Linked DNA regions of Schizosaccharomyces pombe. Changing the gene in region 1 together with any one later gene gives a genetic interaction. Each region holds a gene or a part of one and is shown in the gene's direction. Other genes may lie near its edges.

Region 1 (15,734 bases):
TAAGCAATAGGTACACCATAGTTTATGTGTTGGTATATTTTTAGCAGAATCGCCTTCTCTAAAATTACTCAACATAGTAATTAACTTCTTAGAGAACGCATCATTTGTTTTAAGTGGGATTTTAAGTAAACTGATGAAGGAAGGAATAAAATGATGCATGGAATACGAGATCAAGTGATTTAAACAAAAATCGTAGTCCAGATTTTTGGAGAGCAAGAAAATTAAAACAGATATACCAGTCTGAAGAATCTCTGAAAATGTTTTAATTAAGGAATCAGTTCTCTTTAGCAAGAGATCAAGAGCTAAACCTCCACTTTTGTAAAAATTCCATAAACTATTCAAATATTTCTCTGAATAATCTAAGCGATTTGGAAACTTGATGAGCAAACGAGCGTATAGGTATATCGATTCTTCGTAGTTTTTCTGGCGAAATGCAAAGTCAGCCTTAATATGCTCAAAGTTGAAGTTATTTAAGAATGAATTTTGATTCATTAATAAAATTTCTAACACGGTTTGACTACCGTTTTCGATATGCTCGCATATTCTAGGTAAAAATGAAATAAGCCTCGAAACAACTAAAGGGGATAAATTACATGAACTGATTAAATATTGAATTTGTTCCAACGACTCTTTATAATTCCCAGAAAGAAAAGCAGACAACGTAAAACATAATCGATATTCTAAATTACTTGAATCCAGTTGCAATAGTCGATTCCAATTATCAAAAAGGGGTTGATACAAACCAAGTTGAGCTTGCAAATACGCGGCATCGTACCACAAAGATTCATTGTTAGGAGATATTGCTAATGCATTCTGATAGCATTTAAGTGAGTTGTTGTAATCTTTGGTTTCTCTGTAAACAATAGCTAAAGCATGCCAACAAAATTGAGATTTAGGATCGATAGAAGAAGCATACCCACATTTCAAAAGTGCACTACGACTATCATGCAGTTTGCAAAGATTTAAACCTAGCAAAGCTACGGAGTCGGGATGTTTAGGCTTTTTTTTTAATACTGACTGGATAGTTTTGAGACTTTTGGAATATTGTCCCTTTTCAAATTGATCTATAGAACGATCAAAAAGAAAAGCTTCTTTTTCGGACAATTTACTCATCGAAGGATAAGACTTTAATTGAACACCCTGCTGCTAAGTCAATAATCACGTTTATAATATTGCATGCGCCCTATAGGAATTGTAACAGTAAATACTTCAGTGCGTATAACAATTTGATCTGAAAATATAATTACTCCAAAAATATGTAAAAATGTTACAAACAAGTAACCTGAACCTGAATATTTTAGAAGAAAATATATTTTACCAACGCATCAACGAACGATCGGCTGAGCCAAGAAAAGTGATTTACGCATAAATAACCAAAAAAAGATCAATAAATTGGTACTAAACTTATATAGTTACTCATAAATACCCAAGTAAAAGTATCACTGATTTTATTTTTAAGTGTTCCTCATCAACTTAGTCGAGTGAAAGCTGAAGGTTTTTTCCTGGTTCTAAGCGACAACTAAATTGTATAATTATTAACAAATGTCTACCCTATCTCCAATTTATATTCCAATACCTTTTGGAAGAGTGTCTTAATTTTATTATAAAAAACAATAATTTTGCAAAAGATACTAACGACTTTGTAGTTTCGCATTAGTTAGAAAAAAAAAGAAGATTGGCTGAAAAATTTTAATTTCCTAAAATATTTAAGGATTGAGCAAAGGAATAGAAACGGTAACGGAACCTAACTATAATTCTTTAATCGTTTTATCATAGAAAATCCAAAGCTTTTCACATTTGCATTCCAGGGGTTTTGCCGTAAGGGAAAAATCGTTAGTATTCTAAATAGACAAAAGATTATTTCTTGATAGTATGAACGTAAGGGATTCAATCAAATATCGAATAAAATTTACAAGAATTATGTCGGTTAAATCACATTCATCACTGTTTGATTGTGCTTCTTAAATACTAAGTCTCAGTATTAGCCATGTTAAGTTGTATTTCCTTTACTCATTATGGCTAATCAAGAATTAACAATTTAAGACATAAAGAATATCAACGAAAAGATAATAAATGTCTTTTGCTCTAATTTACTTCTATTTTCTGCAAAAGATCATACAAATAAATCTACTATTGTTGGCATACACTGCATTACTCAAAGTAGCAAAACCTTCAAATAACAATGAATTATACTAGCGGTAGCAATACCAAATAATGCTAGCATCTTAATTCAAGATTGACAAATAACGGAACGTCTATAAAGTTGTTTTAAAAAATACGTTGATTGATGAAAATATAGTTACATTACTTTGATAAAGCTTTATAAAATACCTTACCCCTTTAGGCATTGCATCACTCGTATATTGTCTGACATTGAACAAAAAAAATACTTTGGACGCATCAATGAGTTTTGTAGTAGTTTATGTGCTACAGACTCTGTAAGATAATGAAGTTGATCGCAATACGCTATCGTAATGCAATCGACGGTGTGCCATGAGTATACATTATAAGCAAATTTGAAGTTACATTTTGCATTACTCATATTATGATTGTTTCAATAGTTGATTATGGTAGTGGAAACGTTCGATCCTTAATCAATGCCGTTAGGTATTTAGGGTTTGAAACACAATGGATCAGGAATCCCCATGATATTGAAAAAGCTGAAGTATGTCATTATTGTTTTTAAAAATGTTGTTACCATCTACATTATAAAGGCTAAGTCAAATCGGTTTTTTTTTTCGTTTTCATCAAATACTAATCTATACTTTCAGTGCTTGATTTTTCCTGGTGTTGGAAACTTTGGTTTCGTATGCGATTCCTTAGCAAAGCAAGGATTTTTAGAACCCTTGCGTCGCTATGCTTTGTCTGGCAAACCTTTTATGGCTGTATGCGTTGGAATCCAAGCATTATTCGAGGGGTCTGTTGAAGCACCACATTCTAAAGGGTTGGGCGTATTTCCGGGGTTAGTCCAAAGGTTTGACAACGATGACAAGACCGTCCCTCATATTGGTTGGAATTCTTGTGCTGTACGATCTGACACTTCAAAAGAGTTTTTTGGTATGCGCCCACATGACAAATTTTATTTTGTGCACTCTTATATGATTCCAGAAAAGGGACTTATCCTTCCTCCAGAGTTCAAAATTGCTACCACGAAATATGGAAATGAAACCTTTGTAGGTGCTATTGTAAAGAATAATTTTTTAGCTACCCAATTTCATCCGGAAAAAAGTGGATCTGCAGGTTTGCGTTGTTTAAAGGCATTTTTAACCGGTAATTATGAGCAACCTATAAGTGGTGAAGCATCTAAACTTATAGAGAACTCCTTTGGCGGATTAACAAAGCGTATTATTGCTTGCTTAGATGTCCGTTCCAACGACGCTGGTGACCTTGTAGTTACAAAAGGTGATCAATATGATGTCCGTGAAAAATCTTCTGGAAGCGAGGTTAGAAATCTTGGAAAACCTGTGGAGTTATGTCAAAGATATTTTCAAGAAGGCGCTGACGAAGTCGTTTTTTTGAACATCACTTCATTTAGAAATTGTCCAATGGCCGATGCACCTATGTTACAGGTTTTAGAAAAGGCAGCTCAAACAGTATTTGTACCTTTAACAGTAGGTGGTGGAATCAGAGATGTATCAGATCCTGATGGGACTTTTCATCCTGCTGTCGAAGTTGCTGGTATTTACTTTAGATCAGGTGCCGACAAAGTATCTATTGGAAGTGACGCCGTTTATGCCGCAGAAAAGTATTACGAAAATGGGAAGAAATTGAGTGGAAAAACTGCTATAGAAACAATTTCTAAGGCCTATGGTAATCAGGCAGTTGTTATTTCGGTTGATCCTAAACGTCAGTATGTAAAAGTTCCTGAAGATACTAAACACCATGTTGTGAAAACATCTCGGCTTGGACCTAATGGAGAAGCATATTGTTGGTATCAGTGCACCGTTAAAGGAGGTCGTGAATATCGTGATATTGATGTTGTTGAACTTACTCGTGCTTGTGAAGCAATGGGTGCTGGTGAAGTACTATTAAATTGTATGGATCAAGACGGTTCAAATGCTGGGTATGACATAGAACTTGTTCGTCTTGTTAAAAACTCTGTGAATATTCCAGTAATAGCTTCAAGTGGTGCTGGTATTCCCCAACATTTTGAAGAAGTATTTAAAGAAACGGATTGTGATGCAGCTCTTGCCGCCGGAATTTTTCATCGACAAACTTGTCGCATAGAAGACGTCAAAGAATATCTGGCAATACACGACGTTCTGGTTCGCACTTAGCTAGCGAAGTCCGTCTGAATTACGATAAAAAAATATTTGTATCTAATTCCTTCCCCTTTTAGCACTAAATTAGATGTCAATAGTGCACTGAAATTGCATATGCCAATAAAATTTGTTTTGGATAATATAAATTTTTATCCAGATTATTAAAACTATCTGACATAGAGTAGTATTTATTACTTTATGTAATATTTACTCAGCAGAATTTTTGCATATCCTCTTACGTCTTTATCGACTAAAATTATAAAACAACTGTACAAGATGGCCAGTGAGGGCGCGGACAGGAAGTATACCAAAAAGGGGACTTTAGATTCTCTCCAATGTTTTACGAGGAAGCTGCTTATAATAGACAAAAGAATTGAAAGAGCTAGCAAAAAAGGCCTAGGAAGAGACCTCGGGAGACTAAAATCTTTATAATTGTGAAGAATAAACCGTAAGGCAAAACATATCCTCAGTGATAAATTTAATATATTTGCAAGGATTAATCCATGAGAGCCTAAATTAAACCATGATAGAAGGAATTTTCCAGTAATAAAATAAAATACAGCGGAAGCCAAATAACACTTCCCTTGATCATACAACTGAGAAGAGTTGGCTGCTGAAACATAAAATGCTTCCAACACGCCGTTTGCAGCCATAAACGGAATATACATTGCGTACCAAGATAAAATGCTAGAGCTATCAGGAGAAGCCCACTTACTTCCTGCGCCAAACAAAAGAACAATGTCCGAGTAATTACTTCCAAAAAGGATAAACAAACTCATATAAGAATATAATTTTAAAATCCATGCCAACAAATTTAAAGCCTTTTTTTCATCTTTTTTGTTCTTATAATGCGTTAACTGAGCAAAAACAATGTGAGAATGGTCCTCTACTGGTCGAAACACGATTCTCGCCAATAAAGAACCATAATTGGAAGCTAGCGCATACGGACCTTGAGCAGAAGGAGAAGCATACCATGCTACCATTATCTTATCGCCCTTTGTGATTAGGTGTTTTAACAACACTTGATAAGTATGTGAACAGATTATTCGAAGAGTAGAACTATCCCAAAATATATACCTCTCGTTTTCTCCCACTTTGTGGAGAAATATGGAGAATGGCTGTTTAGCAAAATACCTTAAAGTAAAAAAAATGGTTACTTTTTCTGACAAGTTACCGAGGGCAAAAGGAAGACTTGACGGTGCCTTATTCCTTCCTAAAACAGAAATTGCAAAGGACAATAAAGAGCAAATAATTGTTCCAAGTCCTTCTGCTGAAGCAGTCTTGGAGAACTTCTGGCGCCATTGAAGAACTTCATAGTATGGTTCAGATAGCAACTCAATGAAACTAGAAACGGTGTAAATAAAAATACATGTTTTAGAATAAGGAAAATTAGGAAGTGAATAGAAGTAAAATAAAGAAACCAGAAGCGATATTACGATACCAATGTAAACACTGATCAAAGAAGTATTCTTGATCAATTGCAACTGATCACTTAATTTTTTTGATTTGTTTGACTCAGTAGAAGTAGAGGTAATTATTGCATTTTCCGAAGGAATTCTTTGCATAGCTAATCGAACCGACTCCCTGCTGAGGAAAAGGATCGTACTCTGTAATATCTCAAAATGAATAGAAGAAAATGCATAGGCGCTAGGACTAGTTAACCGAATGGTCAGTTGGTTTAAGAAGAAAGTCAATATTCTCGAACTTCCTTGAAAAAATATGGAGGAGCGCAGTCCCTTCGAGGACGACTGCAGCAAAGAATCAGATTTATCCATTAGCTAGTTGGTACTGATCTAGATTCAAAGAATTATACTACAAGTCAATAGTTGTTTACCTCTTTCTTCCATTAATGTCCCAACTTTTTTTATGTAATTCGTATTCTAACTTATAAATGAGATATTTACTTGGTGGATTTGGCGCATAAATGGGTGTCTCTTGAGCGCGCAGTTAACTTTTCAGGACACATTACTAACATAGAGCATTAAGGAATTCTACAATATACTTGAGTTAACGAAGTAGAGTTGCCATGTTTAACCCGCCGGCTATACAGCCATATTTGTATTAAAGATGCGTTAAAGTACAGTAAGCTTCTACTGCTTGTAATTCATATGCTGTTAATACCAGGTTACCTTAAACTTCCATAAGTATAATAATCACAAACCCATTTCACGACTGATTTTAAGGACGTAGGTACAATTAAAATTCGTTTTCCTATTTTATAATTTTGTGGTTAGATAATTAATAGTAAATCAGATACTCAAGAATATACAGATGATTATTACTGTATACTAAAATTTTTTTAGGCTGAAGAGTGTTTGATGTTTAGTGAAGCGTACCGTAAATTAAGCATTGCTGGCATGTAATAACTTGGACTACTTCTAGTTTAAGGCATCATTCTACTAAGTCTGAAAGTTTTTTGTTTGAAACTCATTAAGAACCTTTGTAGACAACTTTCTATTAAAAAAAATAGGTTCTTTATTTGTACTTAGCTTTACTTTTGCATCTGCTTTTTAGCTACAAGTTTGAACAATTTACTTGTGTTTTACACCAATACTGGGACTTATGCGATTAAGCTTTCTATTTTAATTCTGCTATTATTTTTTTTTGTCATAAACTTATTTTGATGACCTTGATGATTAAATTGTACTAGAAAAATGACAGAAGGAGTTACTGTACAAAAAGTTCAAAGCGCTAGCTCGAATGGGCACAAACCCAACACAGTAATTTCGCAAATAATCTCAGAGATGCAATCACTTTTGGGTAGCAGTTTCGAGGTGTATACTAAAACAATGACGGACTTCTTAATTGGACAGTTGAGCAGAAAGGAAATGAAGTCGATGCTGTTAACTTTCGCTGGAAAATCAAATTTTGGTAAGATATAAATTTTTATTTAATATTGTTCTGACACTTTAGATAAACTACACAATTCAATCATTTTTCATATTCTCAAATTGATGCAAAAAAATAATGATACCTTTAGTGCTCTACATCATTTACCTTGGTTTAAACGGAAGAAAGTCGATAATAGTTTATTTTTACATAAAAAAATTAGTTCGCAGAATGCACAGGTTCGATTAATCAAGCGAATAGTAATGTCTTTAAGTTATAAAGACCGGGCTAGGATCAAAACTGCTTTAAAAGTAGGCTTTATTATAAGTCTTTTTTATCACCTTTCTAACAAACATATCTAGGAAAAGCCAGTTACACCAAGTTTGATCTCAGGATTGCTGCTGGAAACGAGAATTGCAAAATTACCTAAAATTCCTGTATCCCGAGACAAGCTGAATTCAGGTAAGCCTATTCTTTAATAGGTTCTAAGGAAGTATTCAAAAGTGTAACCATTTAATTTTTATTAACGGAAATTTCCTTTTAACCACAATTTGGGTAATATTTTCACTAACCTCATTAGTATTTGTAAATGATATTAAAGCCGGCTATGTTGCACCTCTAGCATGTGAAACACTTGAACTTCCAGATTCAGAATCGTTAAAAGAACGAATTACAGCTATTTCTCTTGAAAATGGCTTATTGGGTGGTGTACAAAAGGGTGTGTCTGATATTATATTGGCTGGGTTAGAAAGCCATCTAAAGAACATTCTAAGCAGATGCTTTTCTATATTAAACAAAAATATTCGACAAAAAAATACTGAAAATGATGCGGCAGGTTTTACCATTAATGACCTTAATCTAGCATGGACTATTGAACCTCATGCTTTTGTCGAACAGTATCCACAGAAGTTAAGAATGCCGTTTTTGCTTCATGATAGTTATACTGAAGATGAAATTTCAATTTGTGCAGAATCGCCAAGCTACATGCTTGCAAGCAATGATGCGCAAAGTGATAGGAATTCTGTTGCTTCCCTTTTAGATGAAGTGCTTTCATAACCGCGGAGGTTCTTTTTTTTTTAATCTAATCGTCAGAAGTGCTTTATTTATTTACAATCTTAAAAGCTTCAAGGGCTATTCTTCAAGCGTTTCAGCTCGCAAATATACAAGACTTGATTATCCTTTTAAGTTAGATTTTTTTCACATATTTTTTTTTTTTAATTTATAGTAATGAATTTAATATATAACAGGTTGCGAAATATGTAAGATGAAGCAATATAGATATTCTAAAATACGTAATTATCCAGCAAGATTTACCGACAGAATACTATTATTGTTCAAGATTTGCTAAAATATAGTATTAGTAAAAACTGTTTAAATACGATCATCAGTATCCATATCGATGCCAGCATAAGGCGTCCGGAAATCCTGTTGTCTATTACTGAAACTTTCACTTTCGCCAACAGCTTCGTCAACAGAAATGCGCTCATCGTCCATCTTCTTTAAAGATGTTTCTTTCATTGTAACGTCCTCATGAGTAGTTTTCTCATTTTTACCGTCCTCCGAATAAGATCTACTAGTAGCCATCTCTAAGGTGGCATTGTCCATAGCTTTGCGGTCGTCAGGATCTTCCCAAAATCTGCGGTTACCCTTAAAGAGGCGACGTACCCATTGAGGCAATAAACCCCCCTCGACACGCCATGTCCAAGCTTCTTTTTGATTATAGTCAGCCGGTACAAGTCTACCGCGTGACATTTTGTCAATAGCATAAATAATGGAGTTTAGTAGAGCGTAGCAAATAATACCGGCAATCAAGCCATACGCAATCGAGTAGGTAAATGGCATCAAAGCAATTGTAATAAAAGCAGGAATGGAGTCACCAAGGTAACTCCAGTTAATCAATGTAGTACTCTTCATCATCATACTGCCGACAAGTACTAATGTAGAACCGGTAGCCCAGACTGGAATACTTGAAAAAATAGGAGCAAAGAAAAGAGAAATGAAAAAGCAAATGCCTACAACCATACCTAAAATCCCTGTTCTACCGCCAGCCGAAATACCAGACCCGGATTCAATAAAAGCAGTAACAGGTGAGCAACCAAAAAGTGACCCAATAGAAATACTTAAAGCATCGACGATGTAAGCAACTGCGGATCCTTCAAAGTCTTGAGTACGAGGATCGACCAAACCAGCATAGTTAGCCATTGAGTAAAGTGTACCAGTCATATCCATAATGTCAACGTACAGAAAAGTAATCAGTGCAATGGCAAATTGACCGCCTGTAACGTTCCACTGTTGGGCAACAAGAATACGGTTAATTTTTCGAAAGCTAACAACCTTTTTGAAAAAATCAAAATTATAATCCCCTGTAAGCGTGTGGGGAAACATAGTTACTAATGAGCGTCTAGGCCAACTTGTGATAGTGACAAGTGCGATTCCAGCAAGGACAGCACCTTTAAATTTGTACATCATTAAAATAGCAGTGAGAACACCGCCACAGAATATACCTACCCACATTCTTCCTGATTGTAATTGATGACCGTTGCAGCTATAATCAGCGTTTAGGTATTCTGGAGGGCATCCTCCTAAAGCGACAATATCAGATGAGGAATGCCCAATGACTCCTAACCCAGCACTTGGACTGAGTCCGATAATTGTGAGATACAAACCAATACCAGCACCAGTAGCAAATTTCAAAGAGGCAGGAATAACTCGCGCCAGCCATTGGCGTAGACCTATAACAGTTAAACCAGTAAAGATGAATCCTTCAACAAAAACAGCTAAAAGAGCTTCTCGATAGGAAACACGTCCAGTGCCATTATATCCGACAACTTGGTACGCAAAATAAGCATTTAAACCCATACCAGGGGCCATACCCACGGGCATATTGGCAAAAAGACCCATGCAGAAAGAAGCGAGAGCAGAAATGGCAGCGGTGGCTGTGACGAGATCACGATGAAAGTCTTCTTTGCAAAGTACATAGTCATCAAGTTTGTCACAATCATCACGATTAGCTTCAGTACATTCGCAAGTGCCGCCCGTATCTACGAGAATGGTAGCATTGACAGCCAAAATGTAAGCCATTGCAAAAAAGGTAGTAAGACCAGCACTAATTTCGAGAGAAAAGCGACTGCCTTTACGCTCCCGAGGATGACCACATCCCTCTAGACGAAACCAACGTCCGAATGCCGAACGAGCGACGATCACGTCGAACTCTTCGACCCAATTCCTTACTTTTTGTGTGATGCTCATCTTCTCGATAAACTAAGGAAAAAAAGAAAAGAGGATTGAAATATTAAAACAATAAAAACGAGAATACTTATAATATATGTATATATATTACACTAGGTATCCAAATAACCTGCCGAGGATAAATAAAACACAACAAATCAACGGAAAGATCCGTGTTAATGCTAAGCAAAAAGCCCTTTTCACAAAAATAGATTACTTATTAAAGATACAAATATTAGAGAAATCCCAAAACCCACAAGGAAAGAAACCGATTTTGCTTCCAAACCTCAAAAACAGTAAAAGCAATTTAAAAAACTTTTGATGAAATTGTAAACAAAGATCGAGATAAAAGCAATCTAATCTTTAAAGTTGTTTGATCAAAGCCGTTTTCTAAAATCCAGAACCTTTTCGACCTACCACTAATCTAAAAATTTTCTGCTAAGCGATGAATCTCGATCTCAACGTGAAGATTGAAAAAACTTTATAATCCTTATCAACTGGATGCAAACCTACACCTAATTAAGTACAACAGTGAGTTTTCAGTCCAGGACCTCTTTATTACTGCAAAGAAATAGAAATTGGTGTTTAGAAAAAAGTTTGTAAAAAATGCAAAGTGTCGCTGATGGACCCAAGGACTGTTAAATACTAGTCAAATTTGGGCGCTTATATTTAACAGCCAATAGCTGTGCTATCAGATACTGCGTCAATTTCGCTACTTCAAAAAATGAGATAAACTCAAAATTCCACTGCCAATAACCTACTCCAAAGATATAAAAAATTCTTAAAAGTAACAATGATAACATTAGTAGTATTCTTCACAAATAATCGACATGCGAAAATTGCAAGAATACAAATGTATTCTGAAAAATAAAATGAAATTAAGCAGCCAAAAAAGAAAGAAAAAATGAAGATTACTAAAACTATTTTTGAATTCTGTCTTTGCTAAAGTTATTGCTTCTCTTTCTACTACTTGCATTAGTAACAGGGGGGTTTCATGTAGATAACCCTCACATACTCTCTCACGTTGACGCTGAATGCTAGGAGCAAAAAAATTAATTAAACCCGTTTTAACGACTTTAACTTGAGCACACCACAGGACTTTGTAAGGATATTGTAAATTGGTCCGAGCCATGTTTAAGATATCACCTATACAAACATATTTATATCACATTTGTTCGTTTTTGCAATCGCTTATCAAAATTCATGCAATTATAAGATAATTAAAGTAAACGAAATCATTAAGGTAAGTGATTATAGATTTAATACTTGTGCTCGTTCGTTTGGTGAGTTTTCTCTGACGGTACAGATACAAGATTATTTTGACTTGAATACCCCCATTATTGAACCTTCATAGTAAAAAGAAAAACACATGTGGGGGACATATGCTGGTAGGTGCAGCTAATACTAAAAGTTAAAGTGGGGAAAAAGACCTTACTGGGGGTACATAAGTTTATATGCTATAGAAGGTTAGCAAATGATTTTAACTGTGGTATGAAATTAAAGTGGGATAAAAAGACTTCAGTGGGGGATTCAAGAATTCATTTAGGGAAATCCTTGAAGTATGAAAATTTGAAACGATATAGATACAAGTAAACTACGCATAATTCACAAGGCGGTATTCGAAAAATGAAATTCTTAAAAGACTATCAAGCGTTATTTTATTATATTATTATTTACTACTTTTTTTTTTGTACTAACAGCTTTACTATATCTTTTTCTTAATGCAGCTACCAGGATATTTGTACTGCAAAGCACCCGACTGTAATGTTCACTCTTAATACATTCATTAGTAGTTTTTCCAAATCCATATGTTTTTAGCCGGCTAAGGTATAATGTACTTTAAAAATCGCTGCTGATCTAGTCAAAAGTTTAATGGAAATCATCCACTGTATTACGAAACATATAGTATTTTTAACTGTGTCGCACTAATTAAACAAAGGTTGTAGCAGCTTTTAGGCAGCTGGGATGGATTTTTCAACCAAGATAACAAAACCGTCAATTATTAGACAGGAATCCAAAATTATTGATTCCTTTTTATTATTGCATTTTCAATTCCAAAACATGCAAAACAGAAGAGATGTCAATGGCATCCCGGTAAATAAAAGAGTCCTTTTTTTAGAGGGGATGGGGACCGGCATTTTACCAATTTGGTACAAATCAGTCAATCTAACTATTAAATGGATTTGCAAGTTAATTCATTGGATCCTATGAGTTTAAGGTATGCTACTCCTAGTGTGAATGGTATTCTATGTTGATTGTTTATAGCTTTTCTTTCTACGCATGCACATCTGTTATGAAAGCACAATCATATAAAATTACACGGAATCATTGTTTAGCAATAGCACGCTGACAATTTCACAGGTCGCTTCAGTGCTATTTTCTATTTACAAGCCGTGGTAGTTTAATTATCGACATTATGTTATTTTTTGTTGAAAATAGCAATATCAAGTGTCCTTCGTAGTCGCTTCATAAAAAGTCAATTCTCTTTGTACCGAAAATTAAAACCCATTCAATTGCTGTCTTTCGCTGAAATTGTTAAATTACTAACGACCTAGACGGATTCCAAACAAAAAACGGAAAACAAATTTTTTTTTTTTTGTCAAACGATTTTTTTTACTATCTGTGTTCAGCGGAATGTACAACTTTAACCCTTCCGATAGTTTAAAAAAATCCCAGTATCAAAGGGAGTAAAAAGTAACAAAAAGCTTCCGTTGAATGCTACGACTTGTAGCCACATTTTTTAGTCCCTAACAATTATAGCGAGATATATTTGCTTCCCGCTCTAATATAGTGTAGTGTAGTTTAGATCCGCTACATCACATGTTACCAGCAAAAAAAAAACATCAGATTTTGCCTACAATGAGATGATACGATTTGTAAAAAAATCTCGTGTTTTCAAGAACACCAGCAAAATATATATATCGCAGTTTTAACCTGCATTCCGCAGTTCAAAAACATCCAATTCCTCTACTTTTCAAAAAGTCTTTCACAACTTTAGGGTCAAGCAATCTAGCTTAATCTTTAATCCCTTCTTGTAATAGTTTCAATTGCAAATTATTGTAGGCACTTAGTTTTTGGTTGTTAAAATAACAAGGTCTTGTTATTGCCGAATACAATACGTCTCAATTTTTTGACATCTTTTAGTGTTCAAACTTGAAAACTTGCAAGTTTCTAATTTATCTGTAATTCCATTTGTGTCTAAAAACACCGACGGTTATTACTTTTGTTCTCGCCTTCCCTTCTCCCTTGAGACAGATCGATATAATTTATCAATTTAATTTTGTTGGTCCATACTGATCAATTTCGGATTTTTTCGTTGGCGAAAGTTCCGTTTCTTAAAAATTAACTACATCTCGCTGCTTAAATCGGTAAATCGACAAAGACAGCCGCGCAAAGCTTGTACCTTAAACTTTGCTTTGCATTATATAAATTGTCACCATCGCAAACTAGCTCACCGAACCTCCGCCACAATCGTTGTGTTTGATAGTTTGTTTTTCCCAAAGACAAATTATTGAAAATCGAACAAATAAAGAGGTTTGTTTCGTTTAAATATCCTTTTTATTACTTGTTGTTTTAAAAGGTTCCTTATTGGTTTCATCGTTTTTCAATTGTTTGTATAAATCACATTTCTTGCCGTTTGTGATTTGTATATATTGTACCAACTGTTTTCTTTCTTCAGTCTAGACACATAGATATATATTCGCATATATATAACTAATCAGCTTCTCTCTTTTCTTACACTTTCACTTAACTTTTTGCTATATTTTCGAATTTGAATTTTTCTTGCCACTATGGTTACCACCGTTGAAATGTTAACTACCTGGAACCCAGTGACCGTTTCCTTGGTTTCTCCTGTCATCATTTACTGGGTTGCTTCTGCTTTCTTCGGATTTTTGCATTACATTGAATTACCTGTCTTTGAGAAGTATCGCATTCATCCTCCGGAGGAGATAGCCAGACGCAACCGTGTTCCTCAGATGGCTGTTGTTAAAGCCGTGCTTTTCCAACAACTTTGCGAAGTCGTCGTTGGAATCGCATTGGCCATGTTCGAGGGCTATCCTGAACCCATTGACGAGGCTAAGCAAATGTTACGCTACGAGGCTTTCTTCAGCAAGAATTTGCCTGCTTTGTTACAAGTTGCTCCCTTTGCCCCTAAATTGGCTTATAACTTTATTGTTCCCGCATTCCAATACTTCTTTGCTTTCTTCATCATTGACAGCTGGCAATACTTCTGGCACCGTTACCTCCACTACAACAAGAAGCTCTACAACATGATTCATGCCCATCACCATCGTCTCCAAGTTCCCTATGCTATGGGTGCCCTTTACAACCATCCCTTTGAAGGTTTGATTTTGGACACTTTTGGCGCTGGTGTTGCTTATCTCGCCGCCGGTCTTTCTCCTCAACAAGCTGTTATTTTCTTCACCCTTTCTACCTTGAAGACTGTTGATGATCACTGTGGATACGTATTCCCTTATGACCCTCTTCAAATGTTCTTTGCCAATAATGCTCGTTACCATGACCTTCATCACCAACCTTACGGTTTCCAAAAGAACTTTAGCCAGCCCTTCTTTACCTTCTGGGACCACGTTTTGGGAACTTACATGCCTCCCAAGTCTGAAACTCCTTACGAGAAAAAGCAAAAGGCTAAGAATGCAAAGAAGGTTAACTAGAAATTACAAAAGTACATGTGCTCTGTGATATTTGCATTTTTTGAATCTTTCTTATCCTTAGTACTTCTGCTGAATCCAATATACTGTTTTTTTTATATTGAGTTATAAATGTTTACTATTAATTTTTTCTCATTCTTTCTAGTTTCTTTGTTTGCTATTTTCATTTTTTTTGAAATTTTATTAATCTAATTGTTCTTCCTTTTAAATTTGTCGGTAGTACAAATCGATTGGCAATCCTTACTGTTGAAGTTATCCCTCCTATGACTCTAGGTATTTGTGATAACCGTAACCTTGTATTTTTATGTTATTTTCCACTTCTAAAGTCTCTTTAAAACGGGATGTTTGACACGGACTGCTGAAGAACACGATACTTACCTAAAGATGCATGTTTTTGTGTATCTTTACCAAAGTTGGTTGGTCAACGAATTTAAATCGTTTGTCGCTCATTATTGAATTTTCGACTTAGTATTGATTGTTTTAGTCTACATACAGTATATAATTTATTAATTGATAGCATTTATTATTTACAGACTTCCGAGGATATGGTATCGTAGACGCGTTTTATCAAATATTATAAAATTAATAACTTACTGTAAACACGGGTTAATATTTGCTTCGATTGTAACATATTATAACAAAAGTCAATTTATTTGCATTGCATTGCATAGGCCCCGAAAGCAAATTATGCAAGTTATACTTAAGGAACGACTAATGTAAAAAGGACTTTATGATAATTACAGTA
Region 2 (15,530 bases), on another chromosome or scaffold:
ATTGAATCCACATTTCTCAATTTACTTGTAACCTATTTGAGAGTAATGATAATGTTAAGCAACACAATATTGTTTATTAAAATTAATATTATAGTAATTCATTACCTTAGTAATGGAATTACAGAGACCATTGCACTTTTGCGCATCATTAAAAAAATTTATAAAGGGACGCATGGATAACTATGGGTTTTGCACCCCGTTTCGCTAAGGCAACTCTTAATATAGCCGTTATCTCAGTATTAGAGCGCTCGGTATAAGGTGAGTAAATAAATAAAGGAAGTGAAATGCAATGTTTGCGAGGTGGAAAAACTGAGCTATTATGGAATTCCTATCTTTGCTTAGTTTTATATTAGTCGGAAACAATGGTAAAGCTCTGCAATCGATTTATGCAAGCATGGTGAATGGGCCTTATGCATGTGTGCGATCAATTTTATCAACGCTAAACAAGCAGTAGATGTAGCCTCAATACTATATATAACCCGTACTTGTCTAAGGATATGGATAATTGTATGCAAATATACATGCAAACACGCATCATCAAGGATTGAAGAGGCCAGCTATGTTTGAAAGATCATGATTCATTGAGTTGGAAGTAAACGACAAATAAAAAATCGAAAAAAAGTATAATTGCAAGTACAAAGACAATTTAATATAATAAAACCAAATCTCCTTGATTAAAAAAAAGTGTTTTGGAAGTTAAAGGGAACGCCAATGTAAGTAAATAAATATCGCGGGTAATTTCCTCTTTGTTCTTCGAGACACAATAAATTAAATGAAAATACGAGAATCAAACACAGTAAGACATATCGTTGGCTAATCACATTCCCAATGCTTTCTTATTGCACTGCATTTACGGAATTCTCATTTGAATGGATTGAGTCGGATTGAAAATCAGCGCCACCGTCACACCATTCATATGAACCACTTTTTTTATTTTGATAAAAGGGTGTTCATTTCTTCACTTTCTTCTATTTCTTCGTTTCCTTCGTTCTCCTCTTCGAGCGATGGATAACTGGGAGGAGGTACCTCTTCGGCATAAGGATAATAACCACCGGCATTGAGCGCCATTTCATCTTCTCCCGGTTCCTCAATTTGTCTTTCATCTACAAGTTGAAAACACGGCCACACAAGGAACAGGAACATCACAAGGAATCCAGCCGCCAACACAGTATTCATTCCCAACACCCATCCCGGCACACCAAAACTATAAACGATGGAGCCAACCGCAAACTCCATGAAGCATGGGATTAGCATGTAAAGAGCTCGTTTTGAAAGAATTCCTTGTATATGACAATTCTTTTCAAATGCTTCGAAGTAAGAGTAACGTCGTCGAATTTGCTCGCGAGGGACGGCATGGATGAATACATTATCCACAGTCATCGTAGGAAAAGTGAATTTACAGGAAGGAATTAGGAATAAGTACGTTTCAAAAAGTCAAAGTAAAGTTTTCAGGTATTTTTTATTACAACAACGTCATTCCGATGTGGTTTTCACTATACCCGCTGCTACACTGAGTAAAGAGGGAGGATACTGCGGTTAGCCCAAATGTGGAAAATGTCCTTGAACCCTACCTACCCGAAGCAAGAAATCCGGTGTTGGAAAGCGCTGAAGGAGCGACATTCACAGTTTGATTTTCTTTTCTTTTTTTCTATTCTTGGACATCTGTTTTGATTCTTTTCTTTCTGCTGAACAGTTTCACGATGGCAGCAAATATCTCGAAACTTGAAGCAATTATTGATAATACACCGAATTCTTCCCCAGACCCAGAAGTTTCTCACAAGTTATGGGTGTCCTCTTTAAACAAATTTCAATACACACTTCCTCTTTTGATTAGTAACTTTGCTGGGCTCGGAATTGCGTTCATTTACTGCCTGATCGCTTTCATTCGAGAAATGTCGCATCCTTCATCCAGGAAAGACACAATGGAGCACGGGTTGCCCATAATTTTGTGCTCTACGTTGATGCTTGTTGGAAACATCCTTTACTATTTCTTGTCGAAACATCCGCTTAAAGTCACCGTTCCAGAGGATTTGGTGCAAATTCCTATGCAACAAATGTCCAGTCCCGCTCAAGAAGCACCTTAATTGGCCGTATATTTTGTTTCAATTATGTTTTTGAAGTGCTTGTCTAATATAATAAGGAGAATGCCATAATCGGTGACATTGTGAGCCGAGTTTTTGAGGCAGACATGTAGAATAGATGATAATTTGTATTTTATTAATTAATCTGTGAATGATATATTAAATGAATTGAAGTTCAAAATGAAATATGAAGAGGTGTCGAAAATATAGGAATAGTACAAACCAGTATATCGAACAGTGCTCTAAATTTTGGAAGATGAGTTCGTTCAGGGTCGATGTATTCAACACACTTCCATTTCGCATTACGAGACAAGTTTATGAAACGAATACGTTTTAGATAAAAATAGTATTGAATTATTAAGTTAATTTTTAGATTAGTAGTGACTTAAATGTTGAATAAATATTAAAGGAGTAATAAGATTAAAGGCAGCGGAATGGAAACGAAATATTTTATAACAAAGTGAAACAGGCGTAAAGGAATAGGTGCCCAAAAGCGATATATGAAGGTGTTATTAATACCTCTGATATGGAGAAGAGTTGAATGTATCTTCTCTTGCTTTAAGATTCTCTTGAAAGTCCTCAACTTCACCTCGTCGAATTTCAACTGTCAGTTTACGAGAACCTATAAAGAGCATCGCAAGTACTATGAGTATGAGTAAAGCATTTACGACAGCATCGATCATAGCAATTACTTGAATAGCTGATGGAAAACCTTTAAAGATGAAAGTAAACACAAGAATGAAAAGACGGCAAGACACGATGAAGGAGATAAAAGACATAAACAAAAAGTCATAATTATCAGCTCGTTCCTTACCGGCTTCATACGTTTTCTTTTCAATTAGTTTTTTGTATGTGGCACCTTTAAGTAACGACTGGAGTTCCCATAGTTGAATGGATTTCTTTGGATTCATATTTTTGTGGGAGGCAAAACAGCTAGTTTGAACAAATCCGTTTAAAAACAAGAAAAATTGCGAAAAAATATTAATATGAAATAAAATGCTTAAAAGTCAAAGGATTTCGACAATCGTTGTTAATGAGTAATTGGAGCGCAAGACCAGAGGTTTAACGATTTTGATATTCAACCAATATATTCAATTTCTCTGCCTACACAATCCCGACCTAAATATTCTGTATTATTTGATAAATATTTATTCTTCTTATGCAAAAGCATTTTCATTTTCTGGCCAATATCTGCTAAATTTTGTGTTATATTTATCAACATGACACAACCTGACATTGAAATAGTTATCAAGGAGGATTTTACCTATAGGGAGTGTTCAGATGTTGCGAACGATGTGTTTAAAAAAACTCAATGGCTCTTGTACGTTTTCCTTTTCATAATTTTTGCCAATTGTGTTGTTGATGTTAAGTATTATTTTGAGGGATTTAGTCATTCATTATTATTCGTCTATTTTTTCTTGACTTTAATAATTCTTCTTGTAAGTTTTATGGGATTTCATTATTTGAATAGTATTCCTAAGCCGGAAGCTGAACCTGACTATCGAAAGAAGCAAGAGTCAAAGAATCAGGATTTCCTTAAAAGTCAATCTAATGAACCTTTAGAGTACGCCTCATCCTCTGCAGTTGAACTAGAAAAAGAAAAAAATACGCGAGAGGGCTTAACAATTCTTGAATCTAGTTAATTTTGTATCCATTTGGCATTTGCATCGACCTTGTTTTTGTTTTGTGTTATGTTTATAGGTTTATTATTTATATTCTTCCTTGGTGTGACAATTTTTTTTCTTTAAAACAAAAGAAATTAAAGAATTTGTATTTTATTTATTTTTCCATTTTGAACTACCATATTGAATGTATTCTCAAATTATTAGTATACAGGTGTAATGTCACTCATTTGAATGTAATCAGAAGAAAAGTTATTCTCTTGTTCAAGATCCCTTTGAAACTCCTCAACTTCTCCTCGTCGAATCTCAATTTGAGCTTTCGAGAATTATAGAATAGCAAGCTAACAACTGAGAATGAAATCTACTGTTAAATCTGACACATCTACTTTCACGGTTTTAAGAGACTTAAAGCCATCAGACATAATTGCTATCATAATGAGTAAGCGGAAATCCACGTAGCATAGTCCAGGAAGAAATCCAAACCATAAATAGTTTTCGTGATGTCCCTTTGAAATTTCATCTGATTTTTTCTCAATCAGTTTTTCGTACGCAGTACCTCAATGCAGCGACTGGAATTCGTACAGTTTAATGGATTCACTTGGACTCATCATATATGATACAAGCAAAATAGCCACGTCAACAAAGTTCTTCTAATGTCTGAAAATCAATTCAGTTATCAGATTGAAATATTGCTATCAATTCAAGTCGAATAATAGGAAAATCTTTCTCTGTGGTTGATGATTTAAATATTTAAACCAGACCAGGGGTTTCACAATTTAGTTAAGAGTTACATTTACGGACTTTTCTTTCCACAAACCTCACTTTTTACTGTTTTATTTTTTGAATTTTGCTGGACATTTTTTTAAATAGCTTCCATTTCTTGCTAAACTTGTTTAAGTATTCATTTGTATTCGTTTTAATTGATAGAGGCATTGAACGTTGAGTCGAAATGAAGGAGTTAATCTATAAACCGCGTTCACAATTTTTGCCAATATTTTTACTTGGTCTTTGAACGTTCTATTTTTCTTGTTTCTTGTGACACGTGCCGTTCACATTGCATTTTAACTAAGAAACATGGCCACAGTATGGCCGTTCTAAAGATGATGCTCCTAAGATTGATCAAAAGTAAAGAACATTGTTATACTATGGTTATCTCTTTTGCAGTGTTATCCATCCACTATGCTTGTGAATGCTTTTTGTATCCTAAATTGTTTGATTCTCAGCGCTCTCCTTCACCTTTTTTACGTTGGTTGTTTTCAGTTCTAGGTGTTTTAATGTCTATGGATGTGTTTTGTATTTTATACGCCTATCCAAGTGTTTATTTACACTATGTAAGCGAAGAACCTAAAAAAAAATTAGAGAATCCAGTCTCAGCAATTAAAATCGAAATGAAATTTCATGAAGTCATACTTTCTTCCTATAAATGGATGTAAATAATTTTTCGTAAAGGAAGTATATTCATCGTAAATCTTAATTTTCTATTTCGCTTGTCATTCGATGTCGATTTTGTTTTCCCTACGAGTCAAATGTCAATCTCAACTAGATGGTTTAAGAATTAAACACCCTCTAATTCCTCCCTTCCTTTTCTTGATGTTGAAATTTCTTTCTCATTACTACAATTCATAAACTCCTATCAACTAGAGAGAATTGCGGTTGATAAGTTTTTCAAAGGTTAGCAAAACGGTATATGCATAAAGTCCCATATACAATTCAAATATAAAAAATTAATTGTTCTTTTCATCGTTGATTTCGTTCCAAATTTGCTCGATAGTCTTCCACTTCACCTCGTCGAATCTCAACGTTGAGCTTGCGAGAACTGAAGTAAAGTATGACTATAATACACACTAAAGCTATGCTGTTTATGATAGCATCGGCTACAGCAGGCAGTTCACAGTACGTATTTTTGTTGAAGAGACTTATAAAGAATATGATCATTCGACTTATAACAAAAGAGAAAATAAATAAAGTAATAATAATTGGTAAAATACCATCATTACTCCGATATTTAATAGCTTCATATGTTTTTTTATTAATTAACTCTTCATATGCTTCGTCCTGAAGCAGCGACTGGAATTCTTGCAACTCGATGGATTCCTTTGGGCTCATATCTTTCGTCTAACAAAACGCAGTTAATTGAACACTTTTAAATCACGAAATTTGAAAATATAAGAAAAATGGATTTTTCAGTAGCTGAAAACTTAATTTAATTGAATTTCATTATTTGTGGTTAATAGATTGTGCACGCAGTAGTTAGCAGGGGTTTGAAGAGAAGTTAGCCTTTTCAATCTCACTGTTCGGGAAAGGCATTTCATTTTCCTATGTCTATTGTTGACTCAAGATTGGTAAATGTTTACAATTAAGAATAAAGTTTAATTTCCAATAGCTGAATTTGCATCTTTCTTTCTCTTTCGTTTCGATATGGCGTCCTTGGACATTCATTTATATGTGAAGAAGGATTTAACCTACGGAGAGTGTGTAAGGGTCGCAAAAGAAAAGTATAAGATAATTCACCGGCTTCTATATATTTCTATTATTTTCCTTTTCCTCAATTACGTTGTCGACATTGTGTGTTATGTAAAAAATTACAATGGTTTTTCTTTTTTTTGTTGGGTTTTTTTGAATCTTGGCGTTATAGGTATAATAATAACGGTGATTATCTATTATATTTCTATTCCTAAACCAGATGCTGAGTCTGAGTTTTTAAACAAACCAGACTCATTGAACCAGAACGTTGGTGAAAGTCAATCTAATGAACCTCCAAAGTACACTTCAACCTTTATGGATGAGCTTGATAAACAGGATTAAAGGAGTACAAAAATGGTTAGTCAATTGATCTGAAGCGCAATGATCAACCTTTGGTAAAGCCAAATCCTTTTACTGTTGAAGTTTATCGCTAAATTTTTGCTAGACTTAACAAACTTCAATTCTTCGTACCTTTTTACTAATATATTTAATTCATTTTAAAAATAATTCAAACACTTTTGTTTAACGGAATCAACGGCATCGTCAGCTGGTTGTATCGGTAGTGTCAAATAGTTTTCCTATGTTTGTAATGAAATTTTTTGTTTTTTAATTCTGTACTTCTGTAACAATTGTAATTGTTCTATGGCTATTTTTTTCCCGTATAATAATCTGAAATTTTTGCCAGAATATATTCTCAATATTTTGGAATTTTTTTACTATTTTACAATCCAACAAACTCGAATTTTACGATAAATGCTTTTCTAAGAGCCATGCAAAAATTTTATTATAATGTTTTAATATTTTTTGATATAATATAAAAATAATAAACTGCAATGGCTATTTATTGACTGATATTAGTATTATAATTTTCATACAACTATAAAAATACATTGGCAAAAAAGAAAAAATATTGAAAAATCCTAAATAGATACGATGAAATCGATTTCTAACAAAAATTAAAATTAAAATAAAAAACTAAGAAAAAAAAAAAAAATCAAACAGTTACATAAGAACCTAGCTATTTTTTTCCAAACTCCTTCCTATTTATTGTATTCTTTTCAAACATATAAAGAGACGTACAGCAATCACTATCCATAAATAACGATAAAAGCAGCATTATGGGTAAATGAATTTGTGAAATTCACCAACTTGCCAAAAATTGCTTACATATTCTCGTTAACTGGCTTTACCGGTTCCGGGTACAATTCATTAACCAATCGGTTGGACGTAATGACTAAATAGCCCATAAGAAATATAGACAGAAAAAAAGGGAAAATAAACGTGAAAATTACCAAATCTAAGCATTCTCAATTTATGAAATGCTTGGTCTTTTAGTTGGAATTGTGCTGTACTGGTGCGACCGAGCTTCGAAATCGGCGAAGGAAAAAACTCAAAAGAAGCAAACGTCTACCGTTTCACGAAAGAAGAGTAAAAAAACTGCATCGAAAAAAAATTCTGGAAATTCAAAAGCATTAATTGTAAAAAAAAATTAAGTACTATTCTTTTGCATGTACTGCTCGATTCAATGTTTAATGACACTCCTTTCATCAATCTGTTCATCTCCACTCTACAATCTATTTATTCATTTGATACATACTCTCATATAGGATTTTGAAAAATATACTCATTACTATACAATATTATAATTAAGGGAGAATAAAAAAGAAATAAAAAAAACCAAAGGAGCCAGTTCAAGTAGGAATTACTTGTGCAAAAGCCCTTCAAGTACTAGTAAAAGTAACTAGTAGAGAATGACTTGGCTGCATCTAAAACATCCTTAAAGTTCAGGCATAACGAAAACAATAACAGCAAAGAAAAAGAAAGACGCAAAAAGTTCAAAAGGAAAAAGAACCAAACATGGTTTAGAAGCGAGAAACAACCAAAAAAAGTATTGCGGGGTTGTAAAAAAAGAAAGGTCCTTTACAACTTTTCAATGTCTTTCCCTTCATCCTCTTTCAAAATGTTTTACTTGACGACTGACTTTACAGCTCCTGACTAGGCTTTCCAGTGCGACCAGAAGTTTTGGGCAAAAGATGGGCGTTGATGTTGGGAACAACACCACCTTGAGCAATGGTAACGTGACCAAGAAGTTTGTTCAACTCTTCATCGTTACGGATGGCGAGTTGAAGATGACGGGGAATGATACGAGTCTTCTTGTTGTCACGAGCAGCGTTTCCAGCCAATTCGAGAATTTCAGCAGCCAAATATTCCAAAACGGCGGCCAAGTAAACGGGAGCACCAGCACCAACACGTTGAGCATAGTTACCCTTACGTAACAAACGATGGACACGACCAACGGGGAAAGCCAAACCGGCCTTGGCAGAACGGGATTGAGCAGATTTGGCAACAGCAGCCTTACCACCAGATTTACCTCCAGACATGACGAAAAATACTGAAACTAAATAAAAAAAATAAAAGTTTGAGTTAAAAAAAAAAGATTTTTCCTTCTTTAATGAAAAAAGATAACAGTCAACGATGAAGCAGCGAATGGATCAAATTTGGTGAAATTAACAGAATTTTCTCGCAATTTCAGCCTTTACGGACAATCAATCTCCTTATCAACTAAGGATCAATTGTTTATATCAATTTCAATACGTGTATGGATCAAAAGGTATCCTAAACAACGAAAAGTCGCGATATAGGGAAAAGGAGACATAGGAGCGCGCACCCTTCATATATATACTAATTCTAATCTTCCGTATAAGCACGTCTAACGCGTTCTTGTAGATGACGTTTCCGCGTCGCATGGCTAAACACCAGGGTTAGGGTTGTGATGCCCAAGTTGTATATAACCATCGCGTCGCCTGCAGGCATGTTAGTTAATACCAACAACTTGATATTGCACGAAAGTTTAGGATTATCAAATTCCTACAATTGCAATTACTTAGTTCAGTCCATCAATTTTGAGATTCTCTCGACAACCAATTTTTAAATCGTAAAAAATGTCTGCTGCTGAAAAGAAACCCGCTTCCAAGGCTCCCGCCGGTAAGGCTCCTAGGGATACCATGAAGTCTGCTGATAAGAAGCGTGGTAAAAACAGAAAGGAAACTTATTCATCCTATATTTACAAGGTGTTGAAGCAAGTTCACCCTGATACTGGTATTTCCAACCAAGCCATGCGTATCTTGAACTCTTTCGTCAACGATATTTTTGAGCGTATTGCCACTGAGGCTTCCAAGCTTGCTGCTTACAACAAGAAGTCCACTATTTCTTCCCGTGAAATCCAGACTGCTGTTCGTTTGATTCTTCCCGGTGAGTTAGCCAAGCACGCCGTTACCGAAGGTACCAAATCCGTCACCAAGTATTCTTCTTCTGCTCAGTAAGCGAATCGCACGATTGTGCAATCGTCTTTTAGTCAGCTGATGAGTTTCCACAGCCTTCCATTTCGACAATGACAACCTCACGAAACAAAAGGGGGTAGGTTATTTGCTCTTTTGGAAATATATATTTTCCTCCTCCCTTTTTTAACGTTTTCGTTCCCTCCTCTTTTCCATTTCCGCCTTTTGTATCGCATTCCTATTTTATTCCCCGTACAATGACGACAACAACAACACAGGTGCAGCACATCACGCGATAGTTTTTTTTACATTACACATGGTTCTTCATTTCTATGACCGGTTCGTGGAGTTGAAAGGTGTTTTGTTTTGCACAAGTCGTACTGGATCAAATTGGGTTTTGTGTTCGATTCGACGGGGACGAGATGCTTTTTCTTCCCTTGGTTAATCTTCTTCCCTTGTGCATTTTATAGCTATCACCACTGGTTGGAGAGTTGAGTTTCTTTTTTTTCGACTGTTTGTTCCTTTCCGCCATGTATGGAAATAATTTGTGTCATTGGCACTCATACAGACACTTCTCACACTCCATTTCCCGTTCCACTCCTGGGCATCTTGGTTTATTAATGGATTTATTATTATTATTATTGTTTATGTTGGTGATTTAGATTGATGGTGAATGGAATATTATTATTCACATTCAAAATATCCCAAAGAATCCAGTGTGCGAAGTTGATGTGGTTTGGTATGTTTGCTATGCAAATGATTTTATATATGTTTGGAAAGATTGTAAAGTAATTCTACTATTAATAATAATATAATATTATGAAAAGATCATTTCAATAAACTGAAACTTGAGTCGTGTTTTCGTAGCTGTTTCCGTAGTCGGACTTATGGAGCTGGCTTCTGCCTTTCTTTGGATTTGTTGTAGCAAGTCGAGTATGGTAGGTGGAAGGCATTTATTTAAGAAATGCGAAATACTAGGAATGTCGTGGAAAAAGGCATATGGTGAGTGTAAAGCAAACTGAGCGAGCATACAAGACGTTGTGGCTATCATCCAATCTGCCGCTTCATTAGGAGGCATGGAGTCTTTTAATTCTAAGTATATGGTTTCTAGAGTGGAAAACAATTGGAAGGTCGGTGGTTGAATGCTCAACTTGGATATGGAAGAGGGTGTGGTATTGGAAAAACTGGTATCCCGTATGGCCAACAATTTATAAAGATCTTGCAAGTTTCGAAGAGATTTTGAAATTCTCGGATCGAGGGAGGGAGAAACCTCGTTAAGAGGAAATGTCTGTAAGAGAAACTTTTGGTAAGGTACCAAACGTGAACGCAAGTTTAACAGTCGAGTTACGAAGTGTAAAACATCAGAGCGGGTAATGGAGGTAGAGAAAACAGGTAGAGAGGTTGTCATTTTAGAAGCAAGCTTTTTCATATCATGCTGGTTACGGTGCTGCACGAAATCAATTAGGGTAGAAGAAGCAAGAGACCATACATCGGACTCCCAGTTCGCCATCGAAACGCTCATACTGGGGAACCTTGCATTCGCATACAAAACCTTATAAAACGCATGATGAATCTCTCGAACAATCTCTTCACGATGAGGTGGTATGTACAGCTTATTCAATTCTCGTAATACATCCACAACCATTAATTCCGGTTCCAATACCTGGTTTTCATTGGCATCTACAATGAACATCTCTTCTATATTAGCTGATTTGGATTGAGGCGCATGTTGGAGCATCCATGTATCAACAATACAACGGGTAGCGGCCATAGAAAATACTGTTCTTATGCGTTTGGGAAGCAAATCAGCAACTCTTTGGAAGTAATGTAATTGAATAAGAACAAAGGCTCCATCCATTTCTAAACGCTCACCACGTTCACCCACAAAAGAATAAACCATTTCCAAACACTGAGAATTCAACTTCTCAACCACTACACCCATTTGCTTCGGGTCACGCCCATAATGCTTGGCGGCTTCTGGATAGCTAGCTTGTTGAATGCCACTAATGAATTCTTTGGCATACAGTTCAACTTCCTTGATTTCACGAACAATTTTTAAAACACATGCATTCGCCCATTCGATAAGCTGCATTCCTGCAAAAACTTCAGGTCGTCCCCTAAGTGTATAATCCAAATTGCATCCACGAGCCACAGCACGCCAAACCAGCATGGGCGATGCACGCGTGCACGATAATTTAGAAAAGTCTTCTTGTCTAGACTTAATTATTTTTTCAAAATAGGAAAATCTTTCCTTCATAAGATTGTACAAATATTTTTGTTGACTGACTGTAGCATATAGTACAGGGTCCCGTCCGCTAATGGGATTGGGTTTTAATTTAAGCAAATCGCATAATGTACGGACAACAAAAGCAAAATCTCCTTGACTTTGTAAAATTTGATTCCAGATAGAGGCGCAAATGCCATCTATAGTGGCTTGAATAATTTCCCAAGCATGATCAACTAAATACACGAGCTTTGGATTGACCTTTGCTAAACGTTCGCGATCTTTTTCATATAATTTTTTAGCATTTTCAATCTCCTGCATTAATAAACTATATTTTTCTTGTTTGTGATATAAGCGAAATTTCTCAGGGTATGTGAATAGAGCCTCACACTCCCGCATGACCAATAGTTCACCGTAAGAAATATCGACCTCATTAGTTGATTCTGTGTTGAAAAGCTGAAGTTGCTGAAGTGCGCCTGAGATTGATTCTTCGCACATATCCATTGTCTTAGCGGGTCCAGCATGACTCAAGGTGCTGATAATTTGAGCATAAACATTATCTATAGTTTCCTTCGCGGCAATAAATTTATTAAAGTTTGTTTCCATCAACGATAATAACTGATGAGTTCCATCGGTGGTTAACCACGAAGATGATCGATGAACTCCCGTACTCGTCTGTTGCATAGAGTTATCAGGAGCATCGCGATATGTCCCAGCGATTTTACGTGTAGCCATCGGGTTTCTCATACCTCCAATAGCTATTTGAGATGACATAGATGGTTGGACGCTCGTTTGACTACGTTTCATTGCAAATGATGGTGTTACTGGTCCAGCTGCACTAGCATCTTTGGTAGTTTCGGATGTAGCGCTAAAATCGTTAGAGAAAAATAAATTCACCAGTTTCTTTGTAATTATTTCTAAACAAAATACTTACCCACCCGTACGAAGTATGTCTTCTGAACGATTACGTTCATGATGAACACCGGTAGTAGGACTTTGTACATCTACTGAGGCATTGGCAATCGCAAAGTCCGGCTTCTCAGTCCAGTAGTCTTGACTTAAACTTGTCAAACCATAATGAGCAAGGATCTCTTCGTCTGCACTCATTTTCTGAAAAGAGACCCTTCACCTGTTGTATTATGGTAGTTGGCAGAGAACGCAATGCCACAGTAATTGGAATTCATCAAAGCGATCGATTTTTTAATCCCTTTGGTCCATAGATCATTCTTTTATACTTTTAAAATTTCCAATTAAGCTTAAATTGCATGTTCCTAAATTGAATCAAGTAGAACAAGTATTTTTCGAATTTGTAAATATGTACGCATTTAAGAGATTCACTAAGTTTGCAAATCCAAAAAAAATTCTTAACCGATTACTGAAGCATATGTATTTGATAAATTTGTGGAATCTGTTAGTTCTGTAATACTTCTGAGTTGAGCTTTTCATAAACAAATATAGTACAAAAATTAACTATAAACCTTTTGTTACCAACCTGATTGTTATAAATTATTTAAATCCTCATTTATTAATTAAACCTCCAGGGAGGAAACCTCCCAAATGGAATTTCTGTAAATAAAATATATTAACCATGTGATTCTCAACATTAACGGGTCGATGAGTTCATTTGAGCTTTATAGAAACTTGAAATAAGTTAATCGCTATTTAATAGCTTAATAAATATGTGCAATTTTCTTTTGAAGGATTTTGTATTCATTATAAAATAAATAATTTAACTCAGTTTCAAGTTGTTATAATGAGACGTGAGAGATTTATATATACTATCAAAATTTTTTTATTAAATTTTGAATTATTTTAAATAATTTAAAGCGATATAATTTTCAATGATATACGGTACAAACGAAATCTAAAAACTAAAATATTCAATTTGTAGACAACATGCCCGAAATTTCACATTGTAGTTTCACAGTTAGGATAATTAAGTTTGGTAAAAATATTTTTTAAGCGCTATTTTTTAAATAAAAATATTTATCAAATTCAATATATTTAGTGCATATTCGTCGCTTTATTTACATGTGGATAGCATAATTAAATAATGATGAGCAGTTGGTTCAATGTAGGGATTTTGTGTTTATTAAGATTTAAAAACGTTCAAGATAATAAAATTATATTCGAAGCTATTTTTGAAGTATTTTTGCACTTCCTCAAAATTCCCGTGTATATGACCCATCTCGGATTTCCAATCACACCTACCGTTTGCCTCATCGAAATGTTGGGCCTTTTGCTATTATTACTTATACCAGCACTTTTCACCTTAATTTGGATATATAAATACATTGAACCACATTCTTTAATTTCAATTCCTGGAATTTTCGTATTTTTAGGCTTATATGTACCATTCGTTGTAACGTTGTTAATTCCTATCGACGTAACTTGGGTAGGTAGCTAAATATCATACAAATACAGAATTGGAAGTCATCTAATTGTTCAAGTACTATATAGGGCCTCTAAAAGCCTTCTTGAACTTGTTGCGAGATTGATTACACTTTATCGAAATTACTTCAAGCTTTATGAATACAATTATTACTCTTCTACTGATTTCATGGTTTAAATTTTACTAACTTATTTGTAGGATGTTTCACTCTCAATATGGCGATTCCTATATTGGTTAACATTCGTGCTCAGTTGGATCATCTTACCTTTTGTCCAAGGTTATATGGAAAGTAAATTTTCAACGCCGAGAAGTCGTCTTAGTGATTCTTTTTACAAAAACCTTAGATATTATTTACTTTTGACATTTTTGACATGTGTCGTAATTGCGTACTTGCGATTCGCCTTGCGAACTATGTCTTTCTCCAACTTTAAAGAATTGGTGATTTCCCTTACATACTTTTGGGGACTCTTATTTGTCATATTTCTTCTGGGAAATGGTTTTGTGTATGTCCCGGTTAGTATGTGGAAAAAGGCATTTATTACAAAACGTGCCGCGCTTCTTGAGCGCCAGGCTGTCGGAGTATACAGCAAACTTCAAGCTCGGCTCGAGAGCTACTCTTTACCATCTTCATCCATTAGCTTAAATAACGGCCGGAATCAATCTAGCAGCGATTTTTTTACTTCATCTCTTACTGATCACGCATTCAATCCTCACAGTTCTCCAAATGGAATGTCTAACGTGATCGCTTTACAAACTACTTGGAATCAAATGGTAAAAGAATATAATCGTATTATGCTGATCAAAACTGCTAAAGCATCTGGCTCTTATCGTCTATACTTACCAGACTCATATATTCCAATACACCCTGTCGTTGCATATGCATTTTACGTTTGGATTCTTCCAGCTTTTAGAATTTTGTTCTCAATATTTATGGCTTCAATGAGTGTAATCATTGTGGTATCAGAAGTGTTTTTGCACACTCAATATTCCTTGGTTGGTATTATCTTACAAAAGTTTACCAATTCGTCTGCCACTTCTATTTTTGTATCGTTTTTATTTGTTTATTACATGCGATACTGCACGTACAAATCCTTGATGCGAACTCAATTTGCGCCACATTACTATTATGCATTAGTTCCTTTCCGAGCTACAAATACGGCCTCCTTGATATACTTCGCATCTCAACTTTGTCGCTTAACGCTTCCTCTTTGTTATAACTTTGTTTCTCTACAACCTTATCCCACCCAATTCCATCAATTCTATGGTGAGAGTATTGACCTCTTACCACTTGGAAATCTTATTAGCAAACGTTATCCAACCTTTATACTACTGCCGATTATTTTTTCTATGATTTCTTTAAAATATAGGTTGCGACAATTCATTTATTCCATTACGCTGCGCAAATCATCCAGTGCCAGCTCTTCCGATGACTTTGATGATTCATCACTGAATTCAGAAAACGATGATGAT

What was found.
Region 2: of hfi1 (region 1) and htb1, a mutation in one rescues a mutant of the other (synthetic rescue), as found in Schizosaccharomyces pombe (one study listed by BioGRID).

The regions. Positions count from the first base shown.
Region 1 is NC_003423.3:3,570,638-3,586,371, reverse strand, and holds hfi1 (SAGA complex subunit Hfi1/Ada1), read left to right. Parts: upstream 1-6,652; 5' UTR 6,653-6,916; coding exon 6,917-7,133; intron 7,134-7,175; coding exon 7,176-7,402; intron 7,403-7,453; coding exon 7,454-7,553; intron 7,554-7,671; coding exon 7,672-8,147; 3' UTR 8,148-8,339; downstream 8,340-15,734. Other genes in the region: nat1 (NatA N-acetyltransferase complex subunit), read right to left, coding at 1-1,113; his4 (imidazoleglycerol-phosphate synthase), read left to right, coding at 2,546-2,665, 2,772-4,277; Man5GlcNac2-PP-Dol translocation protein Rft1, read right to left, coding at 4,454-6,037; SPOM_SPBC887.17 (transmembrane transporter), read right to left, coding at 8,463-10,340; SPOM_SPBC887.16 (uncharacterized protein), read right to left, coding at 11,122-11,451; sphingosine hydroxylase/sphingolipid delta-4 desaturase Sur2, read left to right, coding at 14,111-14,992. UniProt on the Schizosaccharomyces pombe protein: Component of the transcription coactivator SAGA complex. SAGA acts as a general cofactor required for essentially all RNA polymerase II transcription. At the promoters, SAGA is required for transcription pre-initiation complex (PIC) recruitment.
Region 2 is NC_003421.2:1,403,376-1,418,905, forward strand, and holds htb1 (histone H2B Htb1), read left to right. Parts: upstream 1-8,983; 5' UTR 8,984-9,108; coding exon 9,109-9,489; 3' UTR 9,490-10,261; downstream 10,262-15,530. Other genes in the region: SPOM_SPCC622.01C (uncharacterized protein), read right to left, coding at 931-1,380; SPOM_SPCC622.02 (uncharacterized protein), read left to right, coding at 1,701-2,084; SPOM_SPCC622.03C (uncharacterized protein), read right to left, coding at 2,594-2,992; SPOM_SPCC622.04 (uncharacterized protein), read left to right, coding at 3,302-3,724; SPOM_SPCC622.06C (uncharacterized protein), read right to left, coding at 5,441-5,809; SPOM_SPCC622.07 (uncharacterized protein), read left to right, coding at 6,122-6,508; hta1 (histone H2A alpha), read right to left, coding at 8,149-8,547; exocyst complex subunit Sec5, read right to left, coding at 10,262-12,536, 12,603-12,775; lmb1 (plasma membrane LMBR1-like multi-pass membrane protein, human LMBRD2 ortholog, implicated in signaling), read left to right, coding at 13,896-14,063, 14,259-15,530. UniProt on the Schizosaccharomyces pombe protein: Core component of nucleosome. Nucleosomes wrap and compact DNA into chromatin, limiting DNA accessibility to the cellular machineries which require DNA as a template.